Linked DNA regions of Mus musculus. The protein of the gene in region 1 binds, or shares a complex with, the protein of each later gene. Links are inferred from orthologs where the notes say so. Each region holds a gene or a part of one and is shown on either strand. Other genes may lie near its edges.

Region 1 (16,582 bases):
AAATATGGTCATTTGGAACAAAATTGTGACCAAGACATCTCTAAGGGCAGTGGTTTTTCTAAATATAAACCATAAAGAAGACTTCCAGGGGTGTGTAGGTGATATTGCTATTGGATCAATGAGGGTAGGTCCAAAAGAGATATTTAAGGTAATCTCTTACCATTGGGAAACAGCCTTGGGTGCTGCCTTAGAGCCCAGCAGCAAAAATTATAAACCATTTGAATTAAATCAGCCTATATACTATAAGGATGTGTTGATATAATAGTGGAAGCCAGTGAAAGTTTTGTGTTAGGGATGCTGATTTGTTTATATGTCCATAGGAAATGAAAAGCTGTAGATAAGATACCTTCAAACTGATAAAGATTAGAACTGAACAGGCAAGGTCTACTGAAGACATTAGCTACAACCTGAAAAACACTTATTTCACTGAAAATATCTCTGTTTATACTTTCCAGCTACACATAGCATAACTAATGACTTAAAACAGAAGGGGAGACATATAGTGAGAATTCTGAAATTTTGGTTTCTTTAAAAAGTACAGAAATATTATAAAAATGTGCTTTTGTTTTAATCCCATATGTGAGTCTATGGGGCTGCTTTGGATTGTTCACAGCAGCTGACTATGATTTGCCTGTGCTCTAGCAGAGGTGTGGTTCTGCCAGCTCTGATTGTGTGACATGTGCAATTCTGGGAACTTTTCGGAGGGTACTTTGGGTTTTGTTGTGAAGTCCTCCTAGTGTTATGATTCTTGGTAATGTTTTATCTGTTTTGCTTATAAGTATTTCTGTACTGCTTGATTTTATTTTCCTTAAAACATTATGAGTCGGGGCTGGTGAGATGGCTCAGTGGTTAAGAGTGCCGACTGCTCTTCCAAAGGCCCTGAGTTCAAATCCCAGCAACCACATGGTGGCTCACAACCATCCGTAACGAAATCTGATGCCCTCTTCTGGAGTGTCCGAAGACAGCTACAGTAGTGTACTTACATATAATAAATAAATAAATATTAAACAAACAAACAAAAACAAAACAAAACATGAGTTGTGTGAGAATTTGTAATCATTTTGCTGTGTGAGCTCCTTCTAAGAGATGGCTGGGTTCAACCCCATACCTATGTATTATGGAAGGCAGCTCTGGCCTCTGCTGGTAATAGAACCAAGGTCCTCTGGAGTTTCAGCAAGTGTTCATAACCATTGAGCCATCTTTCCCACTGGTCTAACAGAAGTTTTATTTTACTTTATTTTGCTTACGCACTTTTTGATTTTTTTTAAAGACCTGGTCTCACTTTGTAGCTCTGCCTGCCTTAGAACTCACTCTAGACCATTCTGGCCTCAACGTAGTACTTGGATTAAAGGTATGCTCTACTACACCCAGCTGTAGCAGAAGTTGTAAATGAAAAAATGTTTTCTGCTGGGCGGTGGTGATGCATGCCTTTGATCCCAGCACTTGGGAGGCAGAGGCAGGAGGATTTCTGAGTTCGAGGCCAGCCTGGTCTACAGAGTGAGTGCCAGGACAGCCAGGGCTGCACAGAGAAACCCTGTCTCGAAAAACCAAAAAAAAAAAAAAAAAATGTTTTCCTAATGAATGTTTTGTCTTTGTAGACATATATTATTATTTATTGAACTCTGACTCTGTACCATGCTTTGTTCCAGGCAAAGTGATAGGCAGGACAAACAAAACTCTTTGTCTTTGTGGAACATATATATTCATGTGGCAACAGGTAGATGATAAATCCTTTTTTTTGTTGTTGTTGTTGTTGTTTTTTTTTTTTTTCGAGACAGGGTTTCTCTGTGTAGCCCTGGCTGTCCTGGAACTCACTCTGTAGACCAGGCTGGCCTCGGACTCAGAAATCTGCTTGCCTCTGCCTCCCAAGCGCTGGGATTAAAGGTGTGCATCACCACCGCCCAGCCATAGTTCTCATTCTACTTTCATACACATATATTCCATTACTCCCCTGCCCCATTAAGACTTCTTCCTCTTCTCTATCTCTCACACACACATATTCACACTCAAGCATATATAATTTTATGCATGTATAATTTTAAATTTAGGTTTCACAAATGAGAGAAAACACATAGTATTTGTTTTTCTGATAGCTTATTTTGCTAAACATGATCTCCCTGCAACTGTTATATCATTTTTCCTTATAGATGACTAAGTTTCCATTCTATGTATGTATCATATTTCCTTTATCTGTTTACTTGCTAATGATCATCTAGGGTTGTTCCACTTCTACCCCATTGTGAGTTACTCAGTGTGGATGTACAAATATCTCTGTGGTATGTTAATTTACGAGTCTTTTTGGTAAATACCCAGGAGTTGTACATCTGTTGCCCATCTTCGCCTTTAATGATTTGTTTGTAAGACAGGGTCTCACTGTGCAGCTCAGGCTAGTTTGAAGTCTCAGAGATTTTCCTGTCTTAAACTCCTAGTGCTGGGATTACAGGAATGATTCACTGTGTGTATGAATGTATGGATGGATACCCGAAGAACTCAGAAGAGAGTATCAGAGTCACTGCTGGCTGTCTCTGCTGGGTAATGCCATTGTTGCTGATGTGTGTTTACCATCCCGACTCTACCGAACTGGACTGCTGGTGTGTCTGTGAAGTGTATGTGGGTGAATCGAGCTGCAGCTGCCCTCTGACCTGTGAACTGAATTGCTGATTTCCAGACAACAGATGGGAGTTGCTCCAAAACACCTTTCTAAACACACCCACTGTCACCCTCCCATCGCTCATACTTTCTATTCCACTACCTCTGGTGCATGGTGGGCCTTTAAGAAAAAAAATTAAAGTTACATTTATTTATTTATTTATTTATTTATTTATTTATTTATTTATTTATTTAAAGGCATATGTAGTTGGGAGCTGGGGCTTTTGTTTCAGCACTTGGGAAGCAGGGGCAAGAGGTATCTGTGAGGGCCAGGCCAGTCTGTTTTACACAGCAAGTTCTAGACCAGCCAGGAGTTGATACCTTCACAAACAAGATTTCTGCTACATTTAATCATTAACACCATAACAAAGTGCCAAGTAGACTTTTAGTCTTGTAGCTAAGCAGGGCAACCTTTTTTACCAGCTTTTCTTAATTTTCTGTGGCCTTGATATTGGAAAAGGAGCCACAGTAGTGTATCTACACACATTTCATTTGTAGTTCTTTTTAATGCTAAAATGATTCAAATGATAGCAACCAAATCTATTATTTAACTTATTATTTTAAACTTTCCTCTTAATAAAATTACTTGCCCAATTTGTTTTGAAAAGCTGACATCAATATTTGCTTTTCTGTGTAGATTTCAGCTTATGAATTGTTCTGTGACAAAGTAAAAAGTAAACCTGTTGTTGGATCTGGAAAAGAACCAAGCACAGTACTTAAGGCTCATTTTCTTCTTGTGGCAAGCTATCAACGGTAGGGGGTAAACCCGTTTGTCCTGTTCTAGTGTTATGGAAACACCCAAGGCAGGCATCAATCAACCCAAGTGCAAACTAGAACAATTTGGAATTTGTTTTGGAAAAGGGTGTGATTAAGTCACTCTAACATATCTATTACTTCAAGTAATTTTTTTAAAGTTTGAGAATATTTAAAATTTTCTATTTTAGAAAACTTGAAATATATGCTGTTAACTATGGCTACTATGTTGTGTGACAAACCACAAAATTTCATTTATTTAAATGTAAAGGTGGTTCATTGACCACTTTCTTGTTCAGATTTCTTCACCCCCAAACCCTGGTAATGGACTATTGCCAGAAATGTCTCAGACCAGCCAGCTCCCGAATAATGATACAAAGACTTATTATTTATTATAGCTTAGGCCTTAGCTGGCTGGTTACTTCCCAGCTAGCTCCTCTAACTTAAATTAACTCGACTATTCTAGTCCATGTTTGCCATGTGGCCCATTACCCCTCATTCAGTCCTGGCATCGTCTTCCTGCTGGCAAATCCTCCCTTCTCAGTTGTTCCTCAGAGACACTCTTTTTGCCTGGAACTTCTGCCTTTCCTCTCCTGCCTCAGCTATTGGTTGTCAGCTTTTTATTAAGCCAATCAGAAGGTAAAGGAAGTGTATATTTACAAAATACTGAGGCATTTTATGATCCGTAAAAATAACCATAACAAAATTCAGCCAGTATTCAACTCTCTGTCTCTACAGAAATCACCATTTGAATGATACAAAGACAAGTTTTACACAGTGCACATTAAGATTACCTCAATGATGTTTCTGTGTAAACTTTTCTTGTTTTTACAAGAAATCAAAGATTTAAGAGGACTTTAAAGCCAGGTGGTGGTTGCACTTGGGAGGCAGAGGCAGGTGAATCTCCAGGTTTGAAGCTAGCCTGGGCTACAGAGTAAGATTCAGGACAGACAGGCTATACACTGCCTCAACAACCCCCTCCAAAAGGATTAAAAATCTTTTTTATAATTAGAAAACTTGTTAGTTTTTTCTAACTTGACATAAGCAAGAGTCATCTGGGAAGAAGGACGCCTGACTGAGGGATTGCCTTCACCTTGTGGCCTAAAGGCAAGTCTGTGAGACATTTCCTCCCTTAATGACTGATGTGCGAGAGCTGGGCTAACTATGGTGGTGCAAATGGTCCTGAGTGGGATAAAAAAGCAAGCAGAGCAAGCTCTGGGATAGAAGCCAGGCAGCAATAGTGTTCTCAGGTCTCTGTTTCCGGTTGACTCTTTGCTCTGACTTCCCTCAGTGACACTATGACCTCGGAGTTGAGAGAAGAAATAAACCCTTTTCTCTTCAAGTTGTTTTTGGTCTTGGTGTTTTACCACAGCAATGGAGAAGCAAACTAGAACATGTATTTATTATTTGTTGGATGTATTCTTACCCTCTTTATTGTAGAGTTTTTTTTTTTTTTTTCCTCTTTTCTTTTTGAGATAGTCTCACATTACCCAGGCAGGCCTTGAGTGTCCCATGTGGACTCTGAGGGTGGCTTTGAACTCCTGATCCTCAAGTCTCTACTCCAAAATGCTGGGATTACAGGACTGCTCCATTGTGCCTGGCTCCATTGTAAAGAGTTGAATTCAGAAAAATATAGCGCAGGACTTTTCTTTTGGCTAATCTTTTGTGTTTTCCTTTCTCTGTGTCCTTTCTGTCCTTCAACCATACCTTTTTTTTTTTTTCTTGTTTTTTTTTTTTTTTTTTTTTTTTAGACAGGGCTTCTCTGTGTAGCCCTGGCTGCCCTGGAACTCTGTAGACCAGGCTGGCCAGGCTGGCCTCAAAACTCAGAAATCTGCCTGCCTCTGCCTCCCAAGTGCTAGGATTAAAGGCATGCGCCACCACTGCCTGACCAACCATACCTTTTTGGTGAGTAAATTAACAAAAGCTGTTAGCAATTTTCAATGACTTACTAAGACCAAGACTTGCATCAGTTTCTTTTTCCAGTTAACTACTGAGTTACATTTTCACTTTTGCTTTGTAAAACAGACTTTTGAAATGCATGAAACTTATTTGTAGGCTAAACAGTTCCAAAATGGAATAAAATCTTCATAAAGTTAAGAAAGACCCTCAAGTAATTAAGACTTTTTTTCTTATTTTTCCAGACCTTGGTGGCTCTGAGTCTCAAGACTCCTGAATCAACCAAAGGTGATTGGAGACTTATAAACATATTGTAGTCTAAGACACCCTATCTTGCAGATGGTAATTTTACTAGTAAGATCACAATTCTCTCTGAACTCAGCCTAATTGGAAATGCTGTTAGGAATCACAAATAGATTTTAATAATAAGCACACACACCCAAGTTTTTCAGATTTTTAAAGGGCAGGGACAACTGACTTATGCGCCTGAGAAATGTGACAGGTGATTGGAAGCCAGGAACTGGGGGGACAGGGTAGCCTCAAAAGGCCTTAAGTGCTGGAGGCCAGTGGGGTATCTGGAGTTGACCTTTCACCTTTGAAAGGCATTAATTTTGGAGACGGAGCCATGTTTGTTTACTATGAGGGGCTGAGGGAGTCAGGGCAGGCGGAAGCTAGGGCTTTAGTGGGTGTAAGCGGCCGGGAGTCAGTTGGTCTGGGGGGCGAGGGGTCCGCTCCCGCCCGCTCGCCAGGGAAGGCGGAAGGCAACGCTCGGCTTCTTTGGACAACCTGGGCGGGGGGGGGGAACCGTGCGAGCTGGAGCGCAGATCCGAGACGACTCCTGCCTTTACGAGGACGACAGGGGGAGGCACGGGGCAGCCACGCGGGGTCGTCCCCGCTCTGGGGTCGCTAGCTCTGCGGCGGCCGCGCCAGGCCCTGTCGGAGCTGCGCGGCGACTCCCGGTCTGGCCGCGGCCCTCCCGCCCCGGCGACGCCGCGGTGGATTGTGGGCTGGGGGCTGCGGCGGCCTGGCGGCGGCGGCGGCCTGCTGCACGCTCTCCGCGGACCCAGCCGCGCCGGGCCGGTGGCGTGAGGCGGGCGGCGGCGTGGGGAGCTGAGGCGCCGGGGGCGGTGGTCGCGGCGCGGCGGCGGCTCCCCTGGAGGCCGGGGATGTGGGAGAGGCGGCGGCAGCAGCGGCGGAGGCGGCGCTGCGGACCCGGGGGAGACTGCTGGCTGACAGGACACCCGGGCGAGACGTGAGGGGCCCGCCGCGGCCGCTCTGCCCCCGAGCGGCGCTGGGCTCGAGAGGGCGGCCCTGTGCTCCCGGGCCCGCCGGCCAGCAGGCGCGGGGCGGAGGCGGGAACCGGGCTCGGACCCGGCGCGCAGGGCGGCGGCGGCCGCGGAGCAGCAGTCTCGGCGCGACGTGGAGGGATGGAGGCGGCGGTGCACTAGGCCTCGTCTGGGGCTGCCGCCCGGGACCGCAGGTAGGTGCCGGGCCCGCGCTTCGCGGCCACCCTCCCCCGACCCGGTGACCGGCGGGGCGGCGGGACCCCACCCCCTCCGTCTCCTCGGGGCTTGGAGCTGACAGAGTTTCGGAGCCGGTGACCGAGCCGAAGCTTCATCCTCCCCGCCACCACCACTTCCTTCTCGGCACTCCCAGGATCCGGGCCGGCAGCTGTGCCCCAGCCCCGGCCGGCGTCCGCAGGTGCCGCCCCAGTCCCCTCGCCCCTCTCCGGAATCCGGGACCAGCAACTTCCATCAGTCCTTGTAGACGCGGAGCCCAAACTTTCCCTGTCTCCTTTCAGCCAGGCCTGAACCCCTCTTGGAGCCTTCTAGAATAAAAACACCGCCCCCCCACCCCCCCGCCCGAGAATACTAAACCAAAGAAGAACTCGGCATTGTGCAGTTTTGCATTGTAGTTTAAATTATTTTATTTCTTTCAGTTTTGCTAACTGCTGTCTGCAGGGATACAAAGACAGGCCTTCCCTGTTCCCTGTGGGTTGTCTGGGAACTTTTGCCTGACCATTATAATTAGCTACTTGGCCTGTCCGTGTATGGCTTAGGGTGACTTTTTTTTTTTTTTTTTTAAAGAATTTTGGCCTATTAGAGTTACAAAGTGTTTCTTAAAATACCTTTTTAACCAAGTTTGGTTTTTGGTCCTTATAGAGACGTCTTTTACTTTCGAAGAATTAAATTGGGCTACTTCTGTTTTCTAATTGATTTAATTTCGGGTTCTCAAACTCAGGTCAGTCTTAATACATGTTCAGCGGGCAGGGGATATTATGATACGCTGTTTGTGGTATATGGAGAAGAAGGTGATAACTTATGCTGCAGGTCTTGATGGGCATTGAGTTTTATAAATGGGAGCTCTAATTGGAAAACTATTTGACTCCCTAGCAGTTTGGCTGGAACAGATGTAATGATAGGATATGTCTGACTGTATGTAGTACAGTGAGTTGGGTTTCCTAGAAGTGGGTATTGGTGCTCTACACTAATTATCATTAGGTAAAATTGGTCACTTTGTACTTGATAGTTGTAGTTTAGGATGTTAGATGCTAACTTTTGTATTGTCTTTTGGCTAGTTTTAAACTGTGTTCTGGCAACCTTAGAACTGTTACTATAAGTACCAGTCTGTTCACAGTAAAACTGTACACACTATCCGTGTGTTGTTGTTGACACTCATATAATTTGTTCTTGTGGTATTGCTGCTACAGCATTTGGCTTTCTAAAATGTTTTTCATTGTTTTCAAAATTATAACTGGCAAAGTTATCTAGAGTTTACTAGGAACAGAGGATTAAATTTGCATGTATTTGTGTTCTGGAAAAGCTAAATTATATTTCTGAATAAGAATTTTTATTACAATTAGATCTTATATAAACCATGAAAGGACAATTTGCAGAACCTATTCTTAATTAACTATTAACTTTTTTCCCCTACTCTTTTTAAAAACAGCTTTGTGGAGTTAACATACTGTAAAGTTCACCCATTTTAACCCAGTGGTATTTTGGTTTTACCTTGTTAAGTAAGCTCTGCTGAAGTTTTAATCCAATGCCTTGTGACTGTAAGAAAGGGACTCTCCACCAGCGATGACCAGTGCAGTTGGTTGTATTTCCTATGTGATCATCCCCATATATTATTGTGAACACCCTCTTCTCAACCCTTCTCTTCTCCTAATTTTTTGCCTCACCCCTACTGTTCTCCATGAAGCGTTAATCTACTTTTTAAATTTATTTACTTAATGTGAGTCTTTCACATAAATGATGTGAAATTATAGCTTTTTGAAAAATTATTTTAAAGTCAATATACATACATACATATATACATATATATACATACACACACACACACACACACACACACACATATATATATACATATATATATAAAAATTGGGCCAGGGAGTAAGATCCCAATCTCAGAAAAAAAATATTGTAAACAACTGATAGACTGTATGTGGAGGAAGACAAGAAGCATGAGTCACTTTGGTCTTAAGAGTATTGGTGAGGTAAGGGTCAGCCAATGAAAAGTTGGAGAAGAATTTTTGATAATACTGGAATATAGAATTGGAAAGGACCTTACAGGTCATTGTTGGCATACTTCCTGCTTGTCTCAACAAAGCAGAAACCAGAGGAAGAAGTCTGAAGGGTAGAAACTTGAATCTCCAGGACACTTGGCACAAGACCTGCGATGTGCTTATGTAAAGTGAACATTGGGTGTAGGGATGAGCTGGGTACTGGAATTGTTTAGATTCTTGTGTGTATCTATTTGACCTCATGCTGTTATAACTGGGTAAGAACTGGACATTCCTCCAGCATTAGGGACAAGTGCTGACAGAGGTTCTGTGCAGACAGAATACATGGTTTAAAAAAGCTTGAAAGCAAAGCATGACAAATATGTTATTTTGAAATGTTATTTTAAAATCAGTTTACTTTTTTTTTTTTGCAGTTTGGGTTAGGGAGTAAGCAGGTGATTTTGAGAATGAAAAAGAACAAAAACAACATTGTAAAGAAGATATAGATTGTTTTGTTGTGTCAGTATACATTTGGAGAAAGAAGAGGAAAAAGCTTGAGTGGCTTGGGTGCTTCAGAGCTAGTTTGGCGAGCTGAGGGTCAGTGAAATGTTGAATCACAGCTTACATTGTTCACATTTTAAAGATCCAATAAAAAACAAGTTAAAAATTATGATTAACAAATATATTTGGAGGCTTTCTTTTCTGAACTTTCAGAGTTCTAAAATCTAAAACAATAACTATCCAAGCATGGTTTTGTTCTTCAGAGAACTTTTGGAAGTGTCTGGAGATGATTTTGATTGTTAAGATAACATCTAATGAAGGATGTTAATAACTGCTATATAATACATAGACCTCTCCATCCCCCCAAAAGAAAAGACTGTCTGTATCAAAGTGCCAGTAGTACTGTTTAGACTCATGATCTGTATGATTCTGGTAAGGACTTGATCTATTCTTAGAGTCCCACTGAATATTATTTGGTGGAATAGAGAAATACTTAATTCATCTAACAGTTCTCTTTATTGGGGGAAGCAGTTGAGGGCAAAGCGAAAGTAAAGAAATTGGTATAATGTAGATATGTGTTGGTCTGTTTAGTTTACAAATCTGAACAAAAACACCCTTTTAGAAGCTAGAGAGATGGCTTAGTGATTTAAGAGCCTCCCTGGCTGCTGTTGCAGAGGATCTGAATTCAGTTCCCAACACACACAACTGTCTGTAATTCCAGTTCCAGGGGATTGATCCCCGCTTCTCACCTTCTTGGACACCAGACAAATGTGGTACACAGATTTATATGCTGTTAAAACACTCATATACATAAAATAAAATATATTCATAAAAGAAAAATATCCCTTCCCCTTAAAATGTCAGCCTTATATTAATGTACATTTTACTGTATTTTGAATTGCTGATTATTACTGCATAGGTTTTTAAAATTAGAAATAAACATATAGTACTATCTTTTTTAGCATTTTTTACCTTCATACATCCCCTACCCCTACCTCCTGTTAACTTATCGAGAAAGAAGCTAAATGTTTGAATGGCTTATGTATGCAAGTATGTATGTAGTAAAAGTCCAGGATTTTCATATTTATATACAACTCGCATTTCTGCTTCTATTGGTCTCACTTTTGACTCTGATGTTTTTAAATTAATTTTTAAATACTTTGGTGCTGCTGTGATCCATCTCTCCTTCCCAAGTGCTAGGGTTGTAGACCTGTGCCACTGGGTTTGGCTTTTAGGTGATGTTTTTGGTGATGAAAAGTGGTAGGATCACCTTTGTTACTTACTGTCCATGTGACTTTAGAGAAATTATGAAATGTTCCTGGGGTTCAATTTTCTCATCTAACAAATAGTGAGTGTGTTTGGTGATTACTGTATTATGAACTTATTGCCAATGTAAGTGAGTTTATGGGTTGTAAGATACTGTGTCTGGTGAGCCAAATAGTTCAGTGGGGAGAGCATTAGCCTGAAGATGCTTTGTTGACTTTAACATTCTCTGTAAGAGTTGTTTCAGAAGAACAAATTAGAAAGGAATATGTAGAACTTATCAAAAGCAATGTAGAGGTAGCAAGGTAAAATGAATAATGACTGACAGCTCTTAGGGAGAAAAAAAACACTAATTGTCTCTGTCCCTGCCGTCTTTCTCCCTCCCTCAAAAGAACCACTTAATACATCAATAATTGAAGTTCCTTGCTCCAGAGACCGACTTCAGTAGCACCTGAGGTTGGCTTATTGTAAGATTTCTATCAGGCTTTTTTTCCTGGTCTTTTTTCCCCTGTATTGTAGTCATTGATTTTTCAAAAGGGTAAATCTGATCATTTAATTTGTGTGCTTAAATTATTTCTAGCTTTATAATTAAGATGAAATATTATTTCTCATTTCTTTAAGATAAGTGAGTTCCTTTCCTAACATCTTTTTAGCCTTAGAGACTCCACAATTCTCCCCCATTCCTAAATATGTAATTGTCTAAGGCATGTTGAATTCTTTGTGGTACCTGACAATAGATTCTTTTTCTTCCAAATCTTTTCACATACCTCACCTTTTCTAGATCTCCATTACTGTTTTCCCCAACTGGTCTGACTCATTCTTTAGTTCTTGGTAAGCTGTCTACATAGTTATTAATATGTATGGATGCTTTGTCTATTTGTACTGTGCATGTGTCTGATACCCTTAGAGACTAGAAGAAGGTGTTGGATTCCCTGGGACTAGAGCTATAGATGGTTGTGAGTGGTTGCTGAGAATTGAACATGGGTCCTCTTGCAAGAATAGCCAGGGCTCTTGACCAATGAGCCATCTTTTCAGCCTCCTGGCATTGATGTTTTATTATTTAAGATTTTTAAGCCATAGGTCAGTTGAAAGAATAGTAGAGTGAGCACCACACTACCCCCAATTTTTTTTTTTTTTTTTGACAAACTGGTGTGGATATTTCCCCCATTTTCAAACATGCGTCTCCCAATTATAAGACTATTCTGCAGGATTATAGTTATGGTATCTAAGAATGTCAGTATTTACGTGGTAGCATCATTTGCCATAGAGTTAACGCTTAAACATTCTCAGTTGTCTACTGTGTTCTCACTTAATCTGCCCCACTCTATCACCATGAGTTGAATGGTCAAAAGTAGCTTAAAAAAGGAGTCCTTAGGCTGGACACAGGGCTTCTACTCTGTAGTGACAATTTTGACATTTTGGTTTCTTTAGAAAACACAGAAATATTACAAGAATATGTCTTTATTTTAATCCCAGGTATGGGATATGGACCTGCTTCAGATTGTCCTCAGCAGCTGGCTATGATTTGCCTCATGCCCTAGCAGGGGCGTAATTTTTCCAGTGGCAGACAGTGTCTACAGTCGTGTGACATTTGGAATTCTGTTGACTTATCAGAGAATATATAATGCTAGGGCCCCAAGAGGCAGACTGGGTTGTTGGTTGGTTGCTGTTGGTTTCTGTTTAAGTAGTCCTGCATAAAGATGAAACAAGAAGAAATTAGATGTCTGACAGTGAAACTCAAACTTGCCTCTAATGAACAGGAAGTTGTTTAATGATAATGTTGCCCCCTTTCCTCTCTATCCTTTTTTCCTCTCCTGTTTAGAGTTAGAGGTTTGAAAGGATAGAAGAAGGGGGATGGAAAAGGGTGGAAGAAAAAGAGCCCACAAAGTAGCTGAAAGTCCAGGTATATATAATATACATATAAAAATTAATGTACCTAATTGCCAATTATACACAACTCCTACCTTTTGGACCTAAAATATAGTTGTCTGTTCTTTTTAAGATTAACCCACTGTCTGACTGTTCACCAATTCTAGTATTTCCCATCTCTTGGCAAAGCCAATCCTCCCACTCCCAAAAAAAAGTTCAAGTACCAAATTAATGTTCTGTTCATCAAACCTATCTCCTTGACCTACAAATTCTTTTTTTTTTTCTTTTAAAGATTTACTTATTTATTATATGTAAGTACACTGTAGCTGTCTTCAGACACACCAGAAGAGGTCGTCAGATCTCGTTACAGATGGTTATGAGCTGGGATTTGAACTCTGGACCTTTGGAAGAGCAGTCGGGTACTCTTACCCACTGAGCCATCTCACCAGCCCAGAGCTACCAATTCTTGATTCCTCCTCATTGCCAAACCCCCAAGGCCCACCTCTTCAGCAACCTGTCTTCCATTTCAACACTTACTCGGCTTAGGATAAAAGAAAGGCCTACTCATTAAATCTAGCAGCCTATATAATATATTCAGTCTTCATTTGACTTGACCTTACTGTCCTCAAAAGTGACTTTAGAAGGTATGAAAGCTGAGCGTGGTGGCGCACGCCTTTAATCCCAGCACTTGGGAGGCAGAGGCAGGCGGATTTCTGAGTTCAAGGCCAGCCTGGTCTACAGAGTGAGTTCCAGGACAGTCAGGGCTACAGAGAAACCCTGTCTTGAAAAACCAAAAAAAAAAAAAAAAAAAAAAAGAAAGTTAGAAAAGCATTATTTGTAATTCTCTAAGGTAATGATTTAAAGACAAGATCATTACTTGATAACAAAACCATCAATTGAAAGGTCCTTAGGAACAGGATATTTATTCTTCAAAAACTTAAATGTGAGAGGCTTTAGGATTTGTTTTGTTCTGAATAATTAGTATAATAATTAGTATCAGGACACTAAAAGTCACTATCAGTGTCCTAATTTCACTTTGGTTGGCAAAAGTTTTGCTAATAATGCAGTTACATCAGTGACCCAAAGAAGGAATAAAGTATATACATTTCTTTGGGTTTTTCCTGAGGTATCTATTCACTAGAGACAAGTGGGCCTTTAATTGTGGGTTAATTCTAGTAACTACTGTAGTACTGCTAGGAGTCTCCCATTTTCATTTTGAATATTATTTAGTTTTAATTTTAAAATTATAAATGATAATAATTTTTGTTCTTGAAACTATCAGTTATTTTGTAAGACATTTAAAATACACAAGTATGACTGTCAGAGTTCAGATCCCACTTAAATCAGTAAATTCCAGGCAGGCTAGGTAGTCTACCTGAGAAGCCACATATGGGGGTCCCCAAACAAGCTAGCTATGGAGCCGTGCCGCACCAGTGACCTCTGGGTTTGACTGAAAGACCTTGCCTCAGTGAATAAGATGAAAGAGCTTTGGATGATGATTCCTGACAGCAACCTTGGACTTCCGTTTTCTCACATACAAGTCTACCGTTACACATATGTGCCAACATACATAGAACACACATGAAAGAGGAAAAAGACAACTTTAATTTTTTTTGAATGGTTTACTTATTTTTCCTTTTTATGCATTGATTGGTGGATTGTCTGCATATATGTCTGTGTGAAGGTGTTGGATCCCCTAGAGCTGGAGTTAGACGGTTCTGAATCGCCAGGTGGGTGCTGAGAGTTAAACCCGGGTCCTCTGGAAAAACATCAGATGCTTTTAACTGACAACTTAAATTTCTGGTATTACAATTATTTATAATTTATTCTAGCCAACATTACCTCTTGTTATCCTTTTTTTCTTTTATTGAAAATAGATCCCCCCCCCCCCCCCCCGCACATAATATAGCCTGATTACTGTTTCCCTCCCTCTACTCCTCCCAGTTCCTCCCCATCTCCCACTCAGATCCACACTCTTTCTGTCTCCATTAGAAAGCAAGCTTCTGAGGGAGAGTAGTAGTAATAATGTGATAAATTATAAAATAAAGAATAGTAGTAATAAAACCCAACACATTGGAATAGAACAAAACAAACAGAAAGAAAAGAGCCCAAGAGAGGGCACAGGATACAGAGACCTGCTCATTCTCACACTCAGGAAGCCATATGTATGCAGAGGGCCTGGTATAGACCTGTGCAGGCCCTGTGTGCTGTGTCCATCTCTGGGAATTCATATGAGCTCTGATGATGTTGATTTAGAGGGCCTAGTTTTCTTGGGTGGGGTATGCTAATTCATAGCCCTAGTTTTGGTTCTGAGAGGTACGTGAACTGCTCAGCACACTCTGCTAACAGGGCCAGCGCTATCCAGCTGTCCAGGTAAGGTACAGGGCCTACTCTCCCAAGTGTTGTAGCTGGTGAGAGGGAGGGACATGGCCAGTTCTCCCACTCTGATGATCCTGGAGTCAGCTCTCCTGCCTCCTGTAGATGGTGTGGGACGAGGAAGGGGAGGGAGGTGTGTCTACCTCCTCTCCCCTGCCCAGCAGACAAGTGGGAGGAGGGCTCTCTGGCCCTCATGCCCTCAGGGCCAGCACTACTCTGCTGCTTAGGTGAAGTACAGGGCCTTTTCTCCTGAGTGCTGCAGTAGGTGAGGGGCCAGGCTAATTCTACTGCTCTGATGACTTGGGCAGGCTCTCCTGCTTGTCATTGGTGGTGATAAGGGGTGAGGAAGTGGATCCCCCCCCCCCCCCTCTCTTCATCACATGGCAGACAAGTTGTGAGGCCAATTGTTCCATGTTCACACCCTTGGGGCTGGCCCACGAGCACTCCTGCCATCAGGGTCAGCTTTACTGTGCTGCCCAGGTAATGTGCAGGGCCTGCTCTCCAGACTGCTGCAGTAGGTGAGAGGAAGGGCCAGCTCTCCTGCTCTCATGATTCCACTGGGGCCAGTTCTCCCACCTGCCTACCACTGCTGGTGGGAAGAACAAAAAGGAATGGAGGGGGGTTGCTTCCTTGCCCATGCCACTACATAGCAGCCAAGAGGCAAGGCTGGCTCTCCTACTCTCTTTAGTTCTCAGGGTTAGCTCATCTACAACGCCCACATCCAGGGCCAGCTGTACTGTGCTGCCCAGGTGCAGGGCCTGCTCTCCTGATTGTTGCAGTAGTTGAGGGCCAGCTTTCCTGTTCTGATGCCCTTGGCTAGCTCTTGCCTTCTGTAGGTGGCAAAGTGAGGTGGGATGGGAGTGCTCTCTTTCATGCCTATGTTACCCATGGAAGACAAGGGCAGGATCAGCTCTCCCATGCTTATGCCCTTGGGGTCCATACCCTATGGGCTGGCTCCCCTGTGCCTTCACCACCAAGGTCAGCTCTACTGTGCTGCCTAGGTGCAGGGTCTAATCCCCCAAATGCTGTAGCTGGTGAGGGACAGGGTCAGCTCTCTGCTCTCATGACCCCAGGGCCAGGTCTCCCACCTGCTGCAGGTGGTGAGTGGTGTGTATGGGGTGTTTCTCCCTCATCCATGCTACTGTATGGGAGATGAGTAGTAGGGCCAGTTCTCCCAACTCTCACATCCCTGGGATCTGGCTCTCCTGCAAGTCCTGCAGTCTGTAGGGCCCATTCTTCTGAGTACTGCAGCTGGCTAGGGGTGGGGTTCGCTTTCCCATAATGTCCAGGTGAGGGGTGGGGCCATTTCTGCACAGCTCTCAGACATGAACATGTCCTTAGGTGGCAGCCCAGACCAGGGACATTCATCTGGCCTGTGGTGGTTAACAGACCTCTGGTGTTGCAGGGCCACAGACCCAAACATGGCCCCAGGTGACAGCACAGGCCAGGACCTCACCATGGTCCCAGGTAGAATCACTAGCTACATACATCAGGCTGTTCCTCACTACCCTTGAGTCTCCAGTTCTGCCTCTCTTCATTGTACCCACATCCTTTGTTTCTCTTTCATGTCTCTATTCTTTGTTTCTCTTAGTGGTGCCTGGGGTCTCTGAGAGTCTGGCATCATCTCAGGAGTGTTCTCAGGAGTGCTATGCTGCCACTAGTGCATTATGGTGCTGGGCAGGGGTCCTCTTGGGCATGATCTGCCTCCTGAGGCTTTCGTGGTACCCAGCTGGTGGTTATCTTAGGCTAGCTCCCTGTCCAGGCCCC
Region 2 (16,066 bases), on another chromosome or scaffold:
CGAGCAGCAGCATCTGGCGGAGCTGTAGCCACTTCACAACAGCTTAGCACGGCTACGGCAGGAGACTCAATTGAAGCCTGCCCAAGCTTCCCCTGGAGGTTTTCAACACCGGCTGCCCCACCTTTAACAGTGGTTGCCGCCCAGTTTGCTGCACCTAAGGCAGTCTCCTTGTGAACACCCAACAGAAAGGGAGGAGCAAACACCAGCAGGAGCCTATGAGGGACATTTCCGTTCAAGTGCACCAAGAGCACTGTACCCAGAAGGCACCTGCAGCCAGATTAAACTACCAGAGCTCAGGATCGCTGTGGCATTAAGTACTATCAGATGGAAGACAAACTGAGACGGAGGTCATAGGTATATAAACTATTTATTAACAGCAAAGGCCCAGAGACTCATTTCTTCTTGGATACACCCACAGTTCGGCCCCTGCGGCCAGTGGTCTTGGTGTGCTGACCGCGGACACGAAGGCTGCAGAAGAAAAAGATACAGGTCACAGAGCAGCAGGAGGCGAGCCGGTGGACTGTGCAGCCTGATTGGGAGTGGGCAGCTTAAGCCTCATCACCCACTTACCCCCAAAAGTGGCGCAGCCCTCTATGGGCTCGAATTTTCTTCAGCCTCTCCAGGTCCTCACGCAGCTTGTTGTCTAGACCGTTGGCCAGAACCTAGATTTTGAGACAGGGGAGACAACTTTATCTCCTGATTCTGCACCCAGTTTTAACGGACAACCCGTGTCCACCAGTCCCCTAACACACCTGGCTGTACTTCCCATCCTTCACATCCTTCTGTCTGTTCAGGAACCAGTCTGGGATCTTGTACTGTCGTGGGTTCTGCATGATGGTGATCACTCGCTCCACCTCATCCTCCGTGAGTTCTCCAGCCCTCTTGGTGAGGTCGATGTCTGCTTTCCTCAACACCACATGAGCATATCTCCGCCCCACGCCCTGAGGTCAAAAGTTTGGGCTATTAGACTTTTGTTTTTAAAGATCTGAGTACAGAGTTTTCAGAGATACCAGAGGGTATCAGAATCCATTACAGATGGTTGTGAGCCACCATGTGGTCACTGGGAGCCTCTGGAAGAAGTCATAGCTTTTAACAGCTGGATTCTCTCTCTAGCCCAGTCTATTTGTGTCTTATGTTTGCCTGCATTGTATGTCTGTGTGTCTGTGGCACACTGACCAGAGGCCAGAAGGCGCTGATGTTCTGGAACTGGAGTTAATGGTTGTTGAGTGTTGGGTCATTGAACCTGGATCCTCTGGAAGAGCAGCTAATGCTCTAACAGCCAAGCCACCTCTCCAGCCCCCTCACACACACCCTATTACTCAAAAGCAGAGGGGCTGTGCAGATGTTATCCCAGCTCCCTGAACTCGGGACTGCTATGGCCAGCCTAAGTTAGAGATCCTGTCATTTTTCAGATCACTTTCCAGAGACAAAGCCTGCCTACTAACTGAAGGGAACGCTGTTCGGGCCACACTGGACATGTGTCACAAACTCAACAAAAGCAGCACAGATGAACAAAGTCAAACCTTTAACAGGTTTTTTGAGCCCCAAGAGTGGGTGTGACTTTGTGACTACCAGAATTAGCGGGGAGGGGGAAGTGTCATTGAATGAGCTAGAGAAATGGCTCAGTGCACTGGCTGCTCTTCCAGGACCTGGACTATATACCAAGCACTCATTCATAACTCGAACTCCCAATGAGAGAGGATCTAAGTCACTCTTTTGGCCTCCAGAGGCACAGTATGCACAGACATGCAGGCCAAAAACCTTCACAACCCTCACCTCAGCCTCCATATAATTTTTTACTTTTCTTGAGCCTGTTTTACTGTCAAGCTGTGAGTTCTAAAGGTGCATGATGCCAGGTTGGTTATGGTGACAAGGCAAGGGACCTATGCTCAGCTACAAAGTGTGGCCCCACGCCCACCTTGCCTTCTGACTTAAGCACTAACTTAAATTATAAAGAACCGACTCCTAACACTTAAAGCAGTTTGGAGGGACTGGGATTCAGACAGTACTAGACTGCCTCACAGATAAGGGCAGCAAGCACTTCTGGTCCAGCACATGCCTATATGCTTCCAAATATTCAAATTCTCACCTTGAGTGAGCAGAAGACACTTCTTAATTAATACAGAAATCTGCCCGGCGTGGTGGTGCACGCCTTTAATCCCAGCGCTTGGGAGGCAGAGGCAGGCGGATTTCTGAGTTCAAGGCCAGCCTGGTCTACAGAGTGAGTTCCAGGACAGCCAGGGCTATACAGAGAAACCCTGTCTCCAAAAACCAAAAGAGGGAAAAAAAAAATTAAAGAATACAGAAACCTTCCCTGTCCTTCACCCTTTGTTGGTCAGCTTGCAATCACCTCTGGAGGAACTCACCCCGAAATCTCTCTCCTCAAACTCCCAATACCCACCACCCACCTCCCAATCAGCTTCACCCTTTTGTTTTCCAGGCAGGTTTTTTTTTGTTTTTTCTTGTGTAGCCCTGGAACTTATTGATCGGGCTGGCTTCAAGCCCAGAGATTTGTTTGCCTCTGCCTCAGGGAGTGCTGGCATTAAAGATGTGTTCTTCACCCTCTCACACAGGACCAACAGAACCCTCAGTACCCAGGCTCTACAAACACTGTGCACAGCCCCTTCAAGAGCCTCCATTCACCTTGTCTGCATTCGAAGTCAGCTGTAATCATCTCCCAGCAGGTCACACGGGGCACAGGCATTGCCCCAGGCCCTTCAACCCCCTAGACACTGCTCTGCCCACCACACCAGGCACCTCCTGCTGTGCTATCATTGTTTGCCAAAGTGCAGAATTAAAAAAAGTCAACATGGCAAGGACTTAAAAGTGAGACTTCACAAGGTTAAAAAAATTTACTCCAACTTTTATGTCCACCTGACATTACCTCGGCTCCCCAGGCCTCCTTCAAACCTCTCAGCAGCCACCCAGTTCCATCTATACCCTAGCATCCCACAAGGTCCCACCACTGACAGGTCTCATGGCTGAACACACCTGACCAGCAACTCCTCAAATCACCAACTTCAAGTCCTGTCCCTGTCTACAAGACTTTTAGCTCTGCAGAGAAACATCCCAGCTTCCTCCTACGACCTCCCTTTTTGCCATAATGGGGAAAACTGCCAGCTTCTGTGTCACCTTCCACTGTGGCATCTGCCAATAGCTTCTGCAGACCACCCCCAACCATCACCGCTAAGCCTGGACACCTCTTAGGATGTTAGTTTACAGGAATTCTACTCAAGGTTTGCTGACAGCAGAGACTGCTCTCGGAAGCTGAAGATCTCGGGAAACCTCTGCAAGGTGGGACATGACTACACTCACACCCCACTACCCCTGGAGCAATGTTTTGGTTTAACCCTGGGTCATCATCAGGCTTTTATTGAAACGGGTTGGGTGAGTTTAGCTGCTTCTCTTTTGCCCCTAACACTTTTACCTTAATGGCAGTGATGGCGAAGGCTATTTTCCGCCGCCCATCGATGTTGGTGTTGAGTACTCGCAAAATGTGCTGGAACTTCTCAGGGATCACTAGAGACTGAAAGAACACGGGCAGTTATCAAGACAGGTTACCCCCAAACCGGGAAGGTGGCCGAGGCAGGGTTGGATTGTCTGCTAAGTTCTTACACAACTCCTCAGTCACCGGGGCTCACCCCTAACGCGCTCAGGCGCGGGAAATCGCAACCTCTGACAAGAGGGTGGACGTCGGCCGCGGCCCCCAATTCCCTGGACAGGGGAAGCGGGAGGAGCCCACACACAGCCAAGCTCCTGGCAGCTTTGCTGTGTAAGAGGAGCGAGCATTCCTCGGGGCCCCGATCCCCGGGATTTCACGTCTTAGGTCGTCCCCTCTCGGGTCACACTCCATCGCTCCACAGAGGGCTGTGGGCCCGCAGCATGGGGCACTCTCTGAGTCCTGACGGAAATCTCTCCCTGCCCCGGCTCCGATGTCGCAGGATCCCGGCGCGGATTCCGCTCTTACCATGGCGGCGGCACAGACGGCGGCGTGTAGGCCTCCTGTGGAAGAGAGAGCGGAAGTGACGTATAAGTCTTATATAGATTCCTGGCGGAAGAGGCGGGGCTATCCCCGGAGGTCCACTTCCGGAAATTGCTTCTCTCCCCGTCTCCCCCTAAGGGAGGAGTTGTATTGAGACAGTTTTGGAAGGGACCGGAGCTATAACTTCCGGTTCGGCCTTCTCTGTCGTCGTACCGTTCTTGTGTGGGCGCGGAGCGAAGGTTCCGGAACAGAGTTGTGTTCGAGACGTTCACCTTCCTGTTTGCACTTGACCGAAATGATCAAAGCCTAACCGGAGAGGCTGGAGCCGATCGCCTTAGCTCAAATATCTGGGACCCTTTTTTGCTCCATAGAAGACATTCCAGGACTTGTAGCTTTGCTTCGGGAAACGGACTTTCTGAGACTGACAGCTGCCGGAAGTCGGAAGTGAAGCTGCGGGGGAATGGCAGCCGCAGCGACCATGGCGGCCGCTGCCCGGGAGCTGGTGTTGCGGGCTGGGGCCTCAGATGTAGAGGAGGAGGAGGGCCCGCTGGTGAGAGCACGGGGCTGTAGGTCCTCCGGAGTATCGTCAGGTTGTCCCTCTCCTCAGGCGTAGGCTCCATTTAGACAAGAGGTTCGGAGCCGTCTTGCCACGGGTGATGGTGACCTAGCCTTCGTAGGGACCAAAGTGGCTGAAACCCAAGCCCCAGGGACAGTGTCAGCTTCCTGTTCACGATTTTTAGTAGAAAAAAATTTTAGTGTTTAGCGTAAAAGGTTAAGAACGTGGCCTCTGGAACCAATTTGCCCGGGGTCCCACCTCCAGCCCCACCGCTTGAAAGCTATGCTGTGTTTTCGGTGCCAAAACTTCCCACACCTTTACAGTGCAAACGCTGTTAGGACATACCTTATAGGTGGTCGTTAGGATTAGCCGAATGAGCATGTTAAATGGTGTACCAGACACAGGGGTAAACACTATGTAAGCTGGCGATTTTAGCCTCTGGAATTCCCTCAGGGATCACCTGGAATAGCTGGAAACTGAGGTCCTAAATTCAAAGGCAAGTTTGACTAGTCCTAGTTTTTTCTCATTTGAACAACTCCAGCAACTCCATGAATTGCCTGATATTCTCAGTAGCCCAAGATTGTAGATTTGAACGCATCAGAATCTTTGACCCACTTACTCCGGCACCCCCCACCCCCCAAAGCACCCCCCACCTCACTTGGAGGATTAAGGATACCCGATTATGTTTTGTTTCCAACATCTCTTTCTGTATCCCACATTCATTAACCTGTCCCTCTTCAGGGGGGGGGTTCTGGACTCCAAGAACCCCTACAACTTGGAGAGTTGGACATCACCTCTGATGAATTCATCTTGGATGAAGTGGATGGTAAGTGCTGACATGGGGTGGGAGCAAAGTAGACCCCTTTATTCTTTAGAAATATATTACATGACCCCAGTAGATTACCCTCTATGGTTTCTTTCTTTTGTATGTGTGTGTGTTTTTATTTTTAATTTATTTTTATTTTTTTGGTTTTTTTTCGAGACAGGGTTTCTCTGTAGCTTTGGCTGTCCTGGAACTCACTCTGTAGACCAGGCTGGCCTCGGACTCAGAAATCCGCCTGCCTCTGCCTCCCAAGTGCTGGGATTAAAGGCGTGCACCACCACCCCCCGGCTGGCTTTTTTCTTAATGTACAGATAAAGTTTAATCCATGAGTTGAGAAGGCTTAACTTCTAATTTAGGAATAGTAAGAAATGAACAGTACGAGTCGAATAGTCACAGCAATACACTATAATAAAATCGCAGCATCACTTTTTCCCCTTTGGGACTATTGTTGAGTAAGAATACAGCCTGGTTGAACATACATACGCAGACAGCTAAGACTGAGTGACTGGGAGGCAGGCACAGCACACACCATAGATTAACGGAGCAAAGATGTTTCAGATCCAAGCCCAGGCGAGAGGTTCTCTAGCTTCTCAGAATGCCACACATTTTAGATCTTACAAGCCACACTTTGGAAATCCCCTTTTAATATTTTCCATCTGTGGTCGAGTAGACCATGAGGAGCAGAAACAGCAGGAAGTCCCACCGGGCAAAGCAGCTGTGCCTATAACTGGAGAGGGTGGGGGCTGGGAGGGAAGGGGAGATTGGTGTGGTGTGCGTGTGCCCAGTGTGGGCAGAGGGAGGTCTGGCAGGGGACACTAAATATAAGCTTGTTTCCAGTTCACATCCAGGCAAACCTGGAGGATGAGTTAGTGAAGGAAGCTCTCAAAACGGTGAGGCTCTCCACTGGGTTGATCTCCCCACCCTCCCTTCCTTTTGGGGTCCCCTCAGCTTAGTGGCTCCCCTCTAGCCAGTCACGGAGTCTGTACTGGTTGTCCTTCCCCCCAGGGTGTGGATCTTCGACACTATTCAAAGCAGGTGGAGCTGGAGCTGCAGCAGATTGAGCAGAAGTCAATCCGGGACTGTATCCTCCAGCCTCACAGGCACAGGGCCAAGATGGCTGCTATTGGCATGGGCTCTTGGGGGCCTGTGATGCAGGTAGCCCTCAAGGGGATGTCTTCTCTCTCAGGCTTCTGTCACTTTGGGGAGGACCTGGGGGCAGGTACTGCAGATCGGCAGAGCTCTGTGTTCAGTGTGAAGCCCTTGACTTTTGTGGGTCAGATATCCAAGAGAGTGAAAACATAGCGTCTCTGCACAATCAGATCACGGCCTGTGACGCCGTCCTGGAGGTGGGTGGCCCTCACCTGTTGCCCCAAATCTGACTTAATTGCCTCTTCCTCCTCTTCCTCCTCCTCCTCCTCCTCTCCTTCTTCTTCTATCAGTATTTTTTGTCCCCCTTGGACAAGTGATGATCTCCCATCCTCCTGGGTTGCTGGGTACCAGGGATTTGCACAGAGACTTGGTTGACACACCTGTCCTTGTTCCCCGACAACCCGGAGTCATGCCCACAATGTTTCCTGCCCTCCCCACAGCGCATGGAACAGATGCTGGGAGCTTTTCAGAGCGATCTCAGCTCCATCAGCTCTGAGATCCGAACCCTGCAGGAGCAGTCGGGGGCCATGAACATCCGACTTCGTAACCGACAGGCAGTTCGGGGGAAACTTGGGGAACTTGTGGATGGGCTGGTGGTGCCCTCTGCTCTGGTCACGTGAGTCACTGGTTTGAAAGGTAGTAATGTCCAAAGCAGGTGGTTGGGCTGGGTTACCTAAACAATTTACAACATAGGTCTCTAGGCTGGGGTTGTCAGGTACCATCTAGAAACCAGGTGTGCCGGCTCATGCCCGTAATTATATGCTTGGGAGGCTGAGACAGGAGGATTGCTGCAAGTAGACTAGCCTGGGCTATAGAGTGAGATCTTGTAATGGATGGATTAAGAACTTCGAACCCTGCTTTACCCTCCATAGGATAGGACACAGGTTAAGAGTGCTCCAAGGCTACATGAGGAAGTGTGGCTCAGGAGATGAAAACTTTGTACATATTATCTTGAAGGCATGAGACCACAGAGAAAGGCAGAAATGACATGTGAGGTGTGAGGGGGCTCTCTCAGGGCTGTGGGGTACCCCGTCTAACCACACCCATTCTCCCGTGCTCCTCAGAGCAATTCTGGAAGCTCCAGTGACCGAGCCCAGGTTCCTGGAGCAGCTACAGGAGCTGGATGCCAAGGCAGCCGCGGTGAGAGAGCAGGAGGCTATGGGCACCGCTGCCTGTGCTGACGTCAGAGGCGTGCTGGACCGGCTCCGGGTCAAGGTGGGGAGTGGTCTGCTCAGAATCAGCTTTCCAGGAGCTTCACACTGCTTCCCGCTGTGCAGAGCGTGGTTGGCCCTCCAGATCCCCTGAAAATCTAAAGAAGGTTGAGATGTGGCTCAGTTGGCAGAGCGGTTGCTTAGCATGCATGCAGCCCCAGGTTCCATCCCCAGTGCCATATACATTGGCATGATGGCACAAGTCTGTTGTCCTAGCACTTGGGAGGTGAAAGGAGAAACGAGAGTTTGGGGCCAGTACAGATACATGAGACCCTGCCTCAAAACCAAGCAGTGTTCACCTTGGCAGCATAGACACTAAAATTAGAACAATACAGAGAAGATTAGCATGGTCCCTGTGCAAGTAAGAATCATATTTACAAAATGAAACAACCCAGAAAAATAAGGCCGGGTGTGGTGGTGCAGGATTTTAACCCCAGCACTCAGGAGGCAGAGGCAGGCAGACCTCTGTGAGTCCCAGGCCAGCAAGGGCTGCACAGAGAGACCCTGTTTCCATAACCAGAACACAACCGAAGTATTTGTTCCCTTTGCTTTATCTTCACCCCATTCCTGCCGTACAGTGAAAGCCCACCCCGCCTCATGGCCCGTCTGTTCCCCACGCCTAGGCAGTGACGAAGATCCGGGAGTTTATTCTCCAGAAGATCTACTCCTTCAGAAAGCCCATGACCAACTACCAGATCCCCCAGGCGGCCCTGCTGAAGTACAGGTGGGTGCGGGGTGGGCGCGGGGTGGCCTGTGCCCTCTCAACACTGCAGCGTGGGCATCCAGGGAGTCTGACTTGCCCTGGTCCTTCCAAGGTTTTTCTATCAGTTCCTGCTGGGTAATGAGCGTGCTACAGCCAAGGAGATCAGGGATGAGTACGTAGAGACGCTGAGCAAGATCTACCTGTCCTACTACCGATCCTATGTGGGGCGGCTCATGAAAGTGCAGGTGAGCAAGGCTGGAGACATGGAGGAGGATGGGGAGGAGGAGGAGGGGAAGGGGGAGGAGGGGGAGGGATGAAGTCCTCACCTGCTGCTGGTGGAGAGTGATGGTTCAGCTCTGTTATTTTCTCTAGTACGAGGAAGTTGCTGAGAAAGACGACCTAATGGGTGTTGAAGACACAGCAAAGAAAGATATCCTGGAGAGGAGAGCCCCATGAGCTGGGCTCATGGCTGGGACCATGGCGGGGACATCTGGCTCCAGCCTGCAGGCTGTGTTTCGTTTCGTTTCGTTGCTTTGCTTTGCTTTTCTTCCTTTCTTTATTTCTTTTCTTTTCTTTTTTTAAGAAGATTTATTTGCTTTATGTATGTGAGTACACTGTAGCTGTCTTCAGACACAGCAGAAGAGGCCATTAGATCCCATTACAGATGGTTGTGAGCCATCATGTGGTTGCTGGGAATTGAACTCAGGACCTCTGGAAGAGCAGTCAGTGCTCTTAATCCCTGAGCCATCTCTCCAGCCCGGGGCTGTGTTTCTTACCCATTCTGTGGTTCTCAACCTTTGAGGACATGAAATCGAGAGCTTTTTCTCTAAGAAGCACTCGCCGCTCTGACAGATTTTCACATTTATTTCTGAGGGTTTGTAAAACCTTGACAGCCATTAAGGGTGTCAGGCCAAGCAAGGCTCAGGTTCTGGAAAGGGCTATCCGGGCCATATTTAGTTTCCTGGGACTCGGGTCTTGGCTTGTTGGGCCTGGTGCAGTTGGTCTCATTGGTTTCCCTGACTCCAAAGCTGTTCACGCTTCTTCTCGAAGCCGTCCCTCCGAAGCAGGAACACCATCTTTACCCTTGGCACTCGTGGTACTGTCATCTCACCGGCCGAGCTGGAGGCCCCCATCCTAGTGCCCCATACTGCCCAACGTGGAGAGCAGAGGGTATGGTGAGGCAACCCCTCCATGGCCAGGATCAGTTCCCTGAGTGTTAGTTTGGTGTGTGGGGGGGGGCCGGTGTCCCTGGCCTGCTGTGATGCGGGAAGTTAGGAGCCATGGACTCAGAGGCGGGCAGAGGGAGACTGGCTGGGGCGTGACTGTTGGGAGGCAACAGTTGAAGTGAATGTGGGGGTAGAAGTCAGTGGGGAGGGCTTTTCTTGTGACCTGTGCCCCATCTTCAGTGCCTGTTCAGGGTGCTCCTCCCTGCCTGGAGGAGGGTGTGTGATCTTGTGAGCTCTGATTACTAAGCTGTGCTGAGTCTCCACATCCACGGGTTAGTGAGAGACCCATCGTGTCTCTCTCTGTCTCGGTAGTATCCATTCGAAGCGCTCTTCCGCAGCCAGCACTATGCCCTCCTCGACAATTCTTGCCGTGAATATCTTTTCATCTGTGAATTTTTCATCGTGTCTGGCCCGGCTGCACATGACCTGTTCCACGCCGTCATGGGCCGCACGCTCTCCATGACGCTGGTGAGCTCCCAAATTCTGAGCCTGTCCACAGGCAGACAGCAACTCCTGAGGAATGAGTGTTCTCTAAGCCTTGGCCCTGGAGCCCCCATCCCAAGCTCAGCCCCAGCTTCTGCTCAGCCCCAGCTTCTGCTGTGGGGAACTTACATAAGTGTGGCTGTGAGCAGGTCAGGCCGCTTGTGGTACCTGTGGACAGGGAAGAAGCTGGTCTCCCTGGTCTGTGCCTTGTCCCCAAAGAAATGTACATCTGTCTGCCTACAGCCACTCGAACAACAAGCTAACATTCATTTGTCTGCCACAGAAACACCTGGAGTCCTACCTGGCTGACTGCTACGATGCCATTGCTGTTTTTCTCTGTATCCACATTGTTCTCCGGTTCCGCAACATTGCAGCGAAGAGGGACGTCCCTGCCCTGGACAGGTCACTGAGCTCTGGTCCTTGGTGTCTGGATGTGGTCAGCTTCTTATGTTACGAAAACAGTTCCATCCTGACTCTGGGCCCTCACCTGATGCCCTTCACCCTTATTCCCATTCATGTGTCCCAGGGGCAGCATTGGCATCAGGCACACCCACTCACTGTCACCCTGAAGCGTGCTGTACTCCCCTGGGCAGACTGCACCCCCAGCCAGCTGACCTTTGATTCTGATTAAGCCTGCAGGTACTGGGAGCAGGTGCTTGCCTTGCTGTGGCCTCGGTTTGAGCTGATCCTGGAGATGAATGTCCAGAGTGTCCGCAGCACTGACCCCCAGCGCCTTGGGGGACTGGACACTCGGCCCCACTATGTAAGGGCGAGCAAGGTTAATAAGGGGGTCTGTGGTCACACTGAGTGGTGGGTGGGTACTGCCGAAGGAGTCAACTTAGGCAGACAACATCTGTTCTGACTGGTGACAGAACTTGCAGGGGTATCTGAGGGTTGTATCTCCCAGTCAGGCAGGTGTGAGCCTTCCCTTCTTGCTCCCAGATCACACGCCGCTATGCTGAGTTCTCCTCTGCACTTGTCAGCATCAACCAGACGATCCCCAATGAACGCACGCTGCAGCTCCTGGGACAGCTCCAGGTATAGCTAGGCAGGACATATTTGCCAGCAGAGGGACGGGACCTGTGTCCTTGCTTTCTAACCTGCTGCTTTCATTTGGCTTGTGCAGGTGGAGGTGGAGAATTTTGTCCTCCGAGTGGCTGCAGAGTTCTCCTCCAGGAAGGAGCAGCTTGTGTTTCTGATCAACAACTATGACATGATGCTCGGGGTGCTGATGGTAATGCTGCTCCTCCCACGGGGGTCCCTACAGCTTGTGAGCTCTGCCTGAGCTCAGCGCTTTACCCCTGGATGCTGGCAGTGTCCACATCATGGAAAGAAGGGGAAGTGATGGCAACAGTGAAGGTTCCCAAGCTCCTGACTCCTCTTGTCTTCCTTAGGAGCGGGCTGCTGATGACAGCAAAGAGGTGGAAAGTTTCCAGCAGCTGCTCAATGCTCGGACACAGGTAGGGCCTGGGTGCAGCAGGAAGACTGCGATGCTGTTGGACTGACCTCTGTGTGCAGTCATGAGTACAACCCACTGCCTTGTTGCTAGTCTATTTCATTTAACTTTTTCAAGGTACTAATAGTTTAGAAGCAACATAGAACTATACCTATTTATGTATGCATGTGTGTGTACTATAGCTACATGTATGTATGCATGTGTGTGCATGTACTATAGCCCTGTGTGTATGTGTGTGTGTGTGCACTATAGCCCTGTGTGTATGTGTGTGCATGCACTATAGCCCTGTGTGTATGTGTGTGTGCACTATAGCCTTTTGTGTATGTGTGTGCATCCACTATAGCCCTGTGTGTATGTGTGCGCACTATAGCCCTGTATATGTGTGTGTGTGTGTGTGTACTATAGCCCTGTGTATATGTGTGTGTGCACTATAGCCTTGTGTGTATGTGTGTGTGTGCACTATAGCCCTGAGTGTATGTGCACTATAGCCCTGTGTGTATGTGTGTGTGTGCATGCACTATAGCCCTGTGTGTATGTGTGTGTGTGCACTATACCTCTGTGTGTATGTTTGTGTGTGTGTGCATGTATTATAGCCCTGTGTGTATGTGTGTGTGTGCATGCACTATAGCCCTGTGTGTATGTGTGTGTGTGCACTATAGCTCTGTGTGTATGTGTGTGTGGGTGCATGCACTATAGCCCTGTGTGTATGTGTGTGTGTGTGCATGCACTGTAGCCCTGTGTGTATGTGTGTGTGTGCATGCACTATAGCCCTGTGTGTATGTGTGTGTGTGCATGCACTATAGCCCTGTGTGTATGTGTGTGTGTGTGCATGCACTGTAGCCCTGTGTATATGTGTGTGTGTGCATGTACTATAGCCCTATGTGTATGTGTGTGTGTGTGCATGCACTATAGCCTTGTGTGTATGTGTGTATGTGTGCACTATAGCCTTGTGTGTATGTGTGTGTGTGCACTATAGCTCTGTATGTTTGTGTGTTTGTGCATGTACTATAGCCCTGTGTGTATGTTTGTGTGTTTGTGCATGTACTATAGCCCTGTGTGTATGTGTGTGTGTGCATGCACGATAGCCCTGTGTGTATGTGTGTGTGTGCACTATAGCCCTGTGTGTATGTGTGTGTGTGTGCATGCACTGTAGCCCTGTGTGTATGTGTGTGTGTGTTATTCGACGCGTTCTCACGACCGGCCAGGAAGAACACAACAACCAGAATCTTCTACGGCAAAGCTTTATTGCTTACATCTTTATGGGGCCAGAGTGTAAGAAGCAAGAGAGAGAGAAAACGAAACCCCCTTCCCTCTTTAAAGAGAACAACAATTGCCTAGGACGCATCACTCCCTGATTGGCTGCAGCCCATGGCCGAGCTGACGTTCACGGGAAAAACAGAGTACAAGTAGTCGTAAATACCCTTGGCTCATGCGCAGATTATTTGTTTACCAACTTAGAACACAGGATGTCAGCGCCATCTTGTGACGGCGAATGTGGGGGCGGCTTCCCACATGTGTGTGCATGCACTATAGCCCTGTGTGTATGTGTGTGTGTGCACTATAGCTCTGTATGTTTGTGTGTTTGTGCATGTACTATAGCCCTGTGTGTATGTTTGTGTGTTTGTGCATGTACTATAGCCCTGTGTGTATGTGTGTGTGTGCATGCACTATAGCCCTGTGTGTATGTGCATTCTGCTTTGCAGGGAACTGTTTGTGTGTGTGCACATGTAAGCTCACACAGGCACATCTGAAGCTCATGGAGGTCAGAGGTCACAACTTCTAGGTCACAACTTCTTTTCTTGCTTCTTCGACCTTGTGTTCTGGGGACCAGTGGAAAGCACTGTTCCCTGATGAGCCAGCATACTGGATCTTGGTTCTGGAGAAAACCCTTGGGGACATCCCCTGCAACTTGTGACATCACCACCTAAGGTGGAAGGCTCACAGAGACTGCTGTCTGGCGGGTCATTAGACGTCCCTGTGCAGAATGGGGGTCCTTTGCTCCCAGGAGTCTGACCCTGTGTGTGCTTGCACTTCTCTCTAGGAGTTCATTGAGGAGCTGCTGTCTCCCCCCTTCGGGGGTCTGGTGGCATTCGTGAAGGAGGCTGAAGCCTTGATTGAGCGTGGGCAGGCTGAGCGGCTCCGAGGGGAGGAAGGTATCTGATGTCCTGGTGCAGTAGGTAGTGGGAATTAGGGACAGTGAGCGGGGGTGGAGGGGGTGGGGGGGTGGGAGTGGGGAGTCACAGGGGAGGCAACGCAGCAAGGAAGACTTGGCTGGAAGAACACCAAGAAAGCCAGGCTTGATGGTGAGCACAGATGTGCCCAGGGCAGGCCTTGCTGGGTCACCAGCCCTGGTTGCTCTGTGCCTGGTGGACGGTAACCAGACCTGGAGCTCTCTGACACACCTTTTCCTCTGGCGGTCAGCCCGAGTCACTCAGCTGATCCGTGGCTTTGGTAGTTCCTGGAAGGCATCAGTGGAGTCCCTGAGTCAGGATGTAATGCGAAGTTTTACCAACTTCCGAAATGGAACCAGCATCATCCAGGTGACCGGCCACTCCCACCCTTTGCCTGTGTCCTAAGGTTGTCTATTTCCTCGCTCTTTCCCCTGGGCTCCGCATCACACAAACGCCTTGAAGGCCAACAAGCATCTGTGCCTGAGATTCTGGTGAAGCTCTGACAGCTCAGGTCACCATGAGTCTGACCCTGACTCTCCTCTGTGCAGGGGGCGCTGACCCAGCTGATCCAGCTCTACCATCGCTTCCACCGGGTGCTGTCTCAGCCCCAGCTCCGCGCACTCCCGGCCAGGGCCGAGCTCATCAACATCCATCACCTCATGGTGGAGCTGAAGAAACACAAGCCGAACTTCTGATTCAGACCCCCCTCCCCCGCCCCTAAGCTCCTGTGTACTCTGTGTGTCACACATTTTCACCTGGGACCCCTTTCCCATCCCTTTTATCTCTATGGCTTCCACACTCCCCTCTCAGCCTCCATTGCCAGGACTCTGCCTCAACAGAGTGCGTTCAAGGCCACTCCCTGGGTTTCTGAGTGAGGTGACCTTCATTTCCAGTCCGGTCAGCTCCTCTGCTGTTCACTCACAGCCTGTGAGCTTCCACCGCCCCAGGCTCTGACTGACCCTCAGCTCTTAGGGCAGAGCACTGCAGGCCACCCTGTAGCTGATCTGTGGGCTCTGCTGGAACAGTGACATCACCTCGTGGTGGGTCTCACTATGTGGCAATAATAAGTACTAACAGTGCTGGGACCGTGTCCTCTCCTTTGTCCCTGGGCCTCTAAATTCTCCAGCATGTGTTTATTGTAGACCTAGTCTGTTCCTGGTGGGCATCAGGAAGAGGGTGTGATAGTACCCCAAGGTCTGTTGCTGCTTCTGGCCCAGGGGTGGCATAGATGCTCAGGAGGGGACTGTTTGTAGCTCTCCAGGAGGGTGGCACTTGTCGCAAGGCCTGGGAATGTGGTAGCTTTGGGTGCTGTCCTGAGGGATACCATGGGAATAGTCCACACAGCCTCTGAGATTGTGTCAGCCACTAAGTGGCTGTTACAGCTCCTTTGAGGATGGAGGGCCTATAACACCTGCAGCCATGCATCAAGGCAGGGGTGGACCTGGCTCCAAAACAGATCCTGTCATTTTCATGTGACCCAGACCCTTCCCGCTGCCCTCTGCCTCACCTCTGTAAGGAGTTTGCAGACTCCAGAGCAGTGGTTCTCAACCTTCCTAATACTGCAACGCTTTAACACAGTTCCTTGTGCTGACCCCAACCTTAAAGTTATTTTCATTGTTACTTCATAACTGTGATTTTGTACTGTTAAGAATACTAGCCAGGCGTGGTGGCACATGCCTTTAATCCCAGCACTTGGGAGGCAGAGGCAGGTGGATTTCTGAGTTCGAGGCTAGCCTGGTCTACAAAGTGGGTTTCAGGACAGCCAGGGCTACACAGAGAAACCCTGTCTCGAAAAAAAACAAAAAAAGAATATTAATATAGGGGCTGGTGAGATAGCTCAGTGGGTAAGGGCACCCGACTGCTTTTCCAAAGGTCCAGAGTTCAAATCCCAGCAACCACATGGTGGCTCACAACCATCTTTAACAAGATCTGACTCCCTCTTCTGGAGTGTCTGAAGACAGCGACAGTGTACTTACATATGATAAATAAATCTTTTTTTTTTTTTTTAAATAAGAATACTAATATAGCCAGGCATGGTGGTGCATGCCTTTAATCCCAGCACTTGGGAAGCAGAGGCAGGCGGATTTCTGAGTTCGAGGCCAGCCTGCACAGCCAGGGCTATACAGAGAAACCCTGTTTCGAAAAACCAAAAAAAAAAAAAAAGAATACTAATATAAATATCTGTGTTTTCTGATGGACTTAAGCAACCCATGTGAAAGGGTTGTTTGACCCCCAAAGGGGTCATGGCCCACAGGTTCTAGAGTGAAGGTACATGCTTGACCAAGTTGTTTGGTTTTTGAGACAGG

Evidence for each region.
Region 2: Vps54 (region 1) and Vps52 share a complex: the UniProt entries of both Homo sapiens proteins name them as parts of the golgi-associated retrograde protein (GARP) complex. The link is inferred for Mus musculus from reciprocal best matches to the Homo sapiens genes VPS54 and VPS52.

Annotation. Positions count from the first base shown.
Region 1 is NC_000077.6:21,232,594-21,249,175, forward strand, and holds the start of Vps54 (vacuolar protein sorting-associated protein 54), read left to right. Parts: upstream 1-6,438; 5' UTR 6,439-6,778; intron 6,779-16,582. UniProt on the Homo sapiens protein: Acts as a component of the GARP complex that is involved in retrograde transport from early and late endosomes to the trans-Golgi network (TGN).
Region 2 is NC_000083.6:33,951,651-33,967,716, forward strand, and holds Vps52 (vacuolar protein sorting-associated protein 52 homolog), read left to right. Parts: upstream 1-4,149; 5' UTR 4,150-4,442; coding exon 4,443-4,532; exon of another isoform or gene 4,533-5,034; intron 5,035-5,279; coding exon 5,280-5,364; intron 5,365-6,198; coding exon 6,199-6,251; intron 6,252-6,366; coding exon 6,367-6,442; intron 6,443-6,639; coding exon 6,640-6,707; intron 6,708-6,950; coding exon 6,951-7,126; intron 7,127-7,574; coding exon 7,575-7,725; intron 7,726-8,012; exon of another isoform or gene 8,013-8,122; intron 8,123-8,299; exon of another isoform or gene 8,300-8,344; coding exon 8,345-8,445; intron 8,446-8,536; coding exon 8,537-8,669; intron 8,670-8,796; coding exon 8,797-8,854; intron 8,855-9,460; coding exon 9,461-9,594; intron 9,595-9,962; coding exon 9,963-10,118; intron 10,119-10,416; coding exon 10,417-10,535; intron 10,536-10,765; exon of another isoform or gene 10,766-10,772; coding exon 10,773-10,896; coding exon of another isoform or gene 10,897-10,911; intron 10,912-11,075; coding exon 11,076-11,171; intron 11,172-11,259; coding exon 11,260-11,367; intron 11,368-11,527; and 9 more. Other genes in the region: Rps18 (40S ribosomal protein S18), read right to left, coding at 393-468, 571-662, 753-941, 3,428-3,526, 3,968-3,970. UniProt on the Homo sapiens protein: Acts as a component of the GARP complex that is involved in retrograde transport from early and late endosomes to the trans-Golgi network (TGN).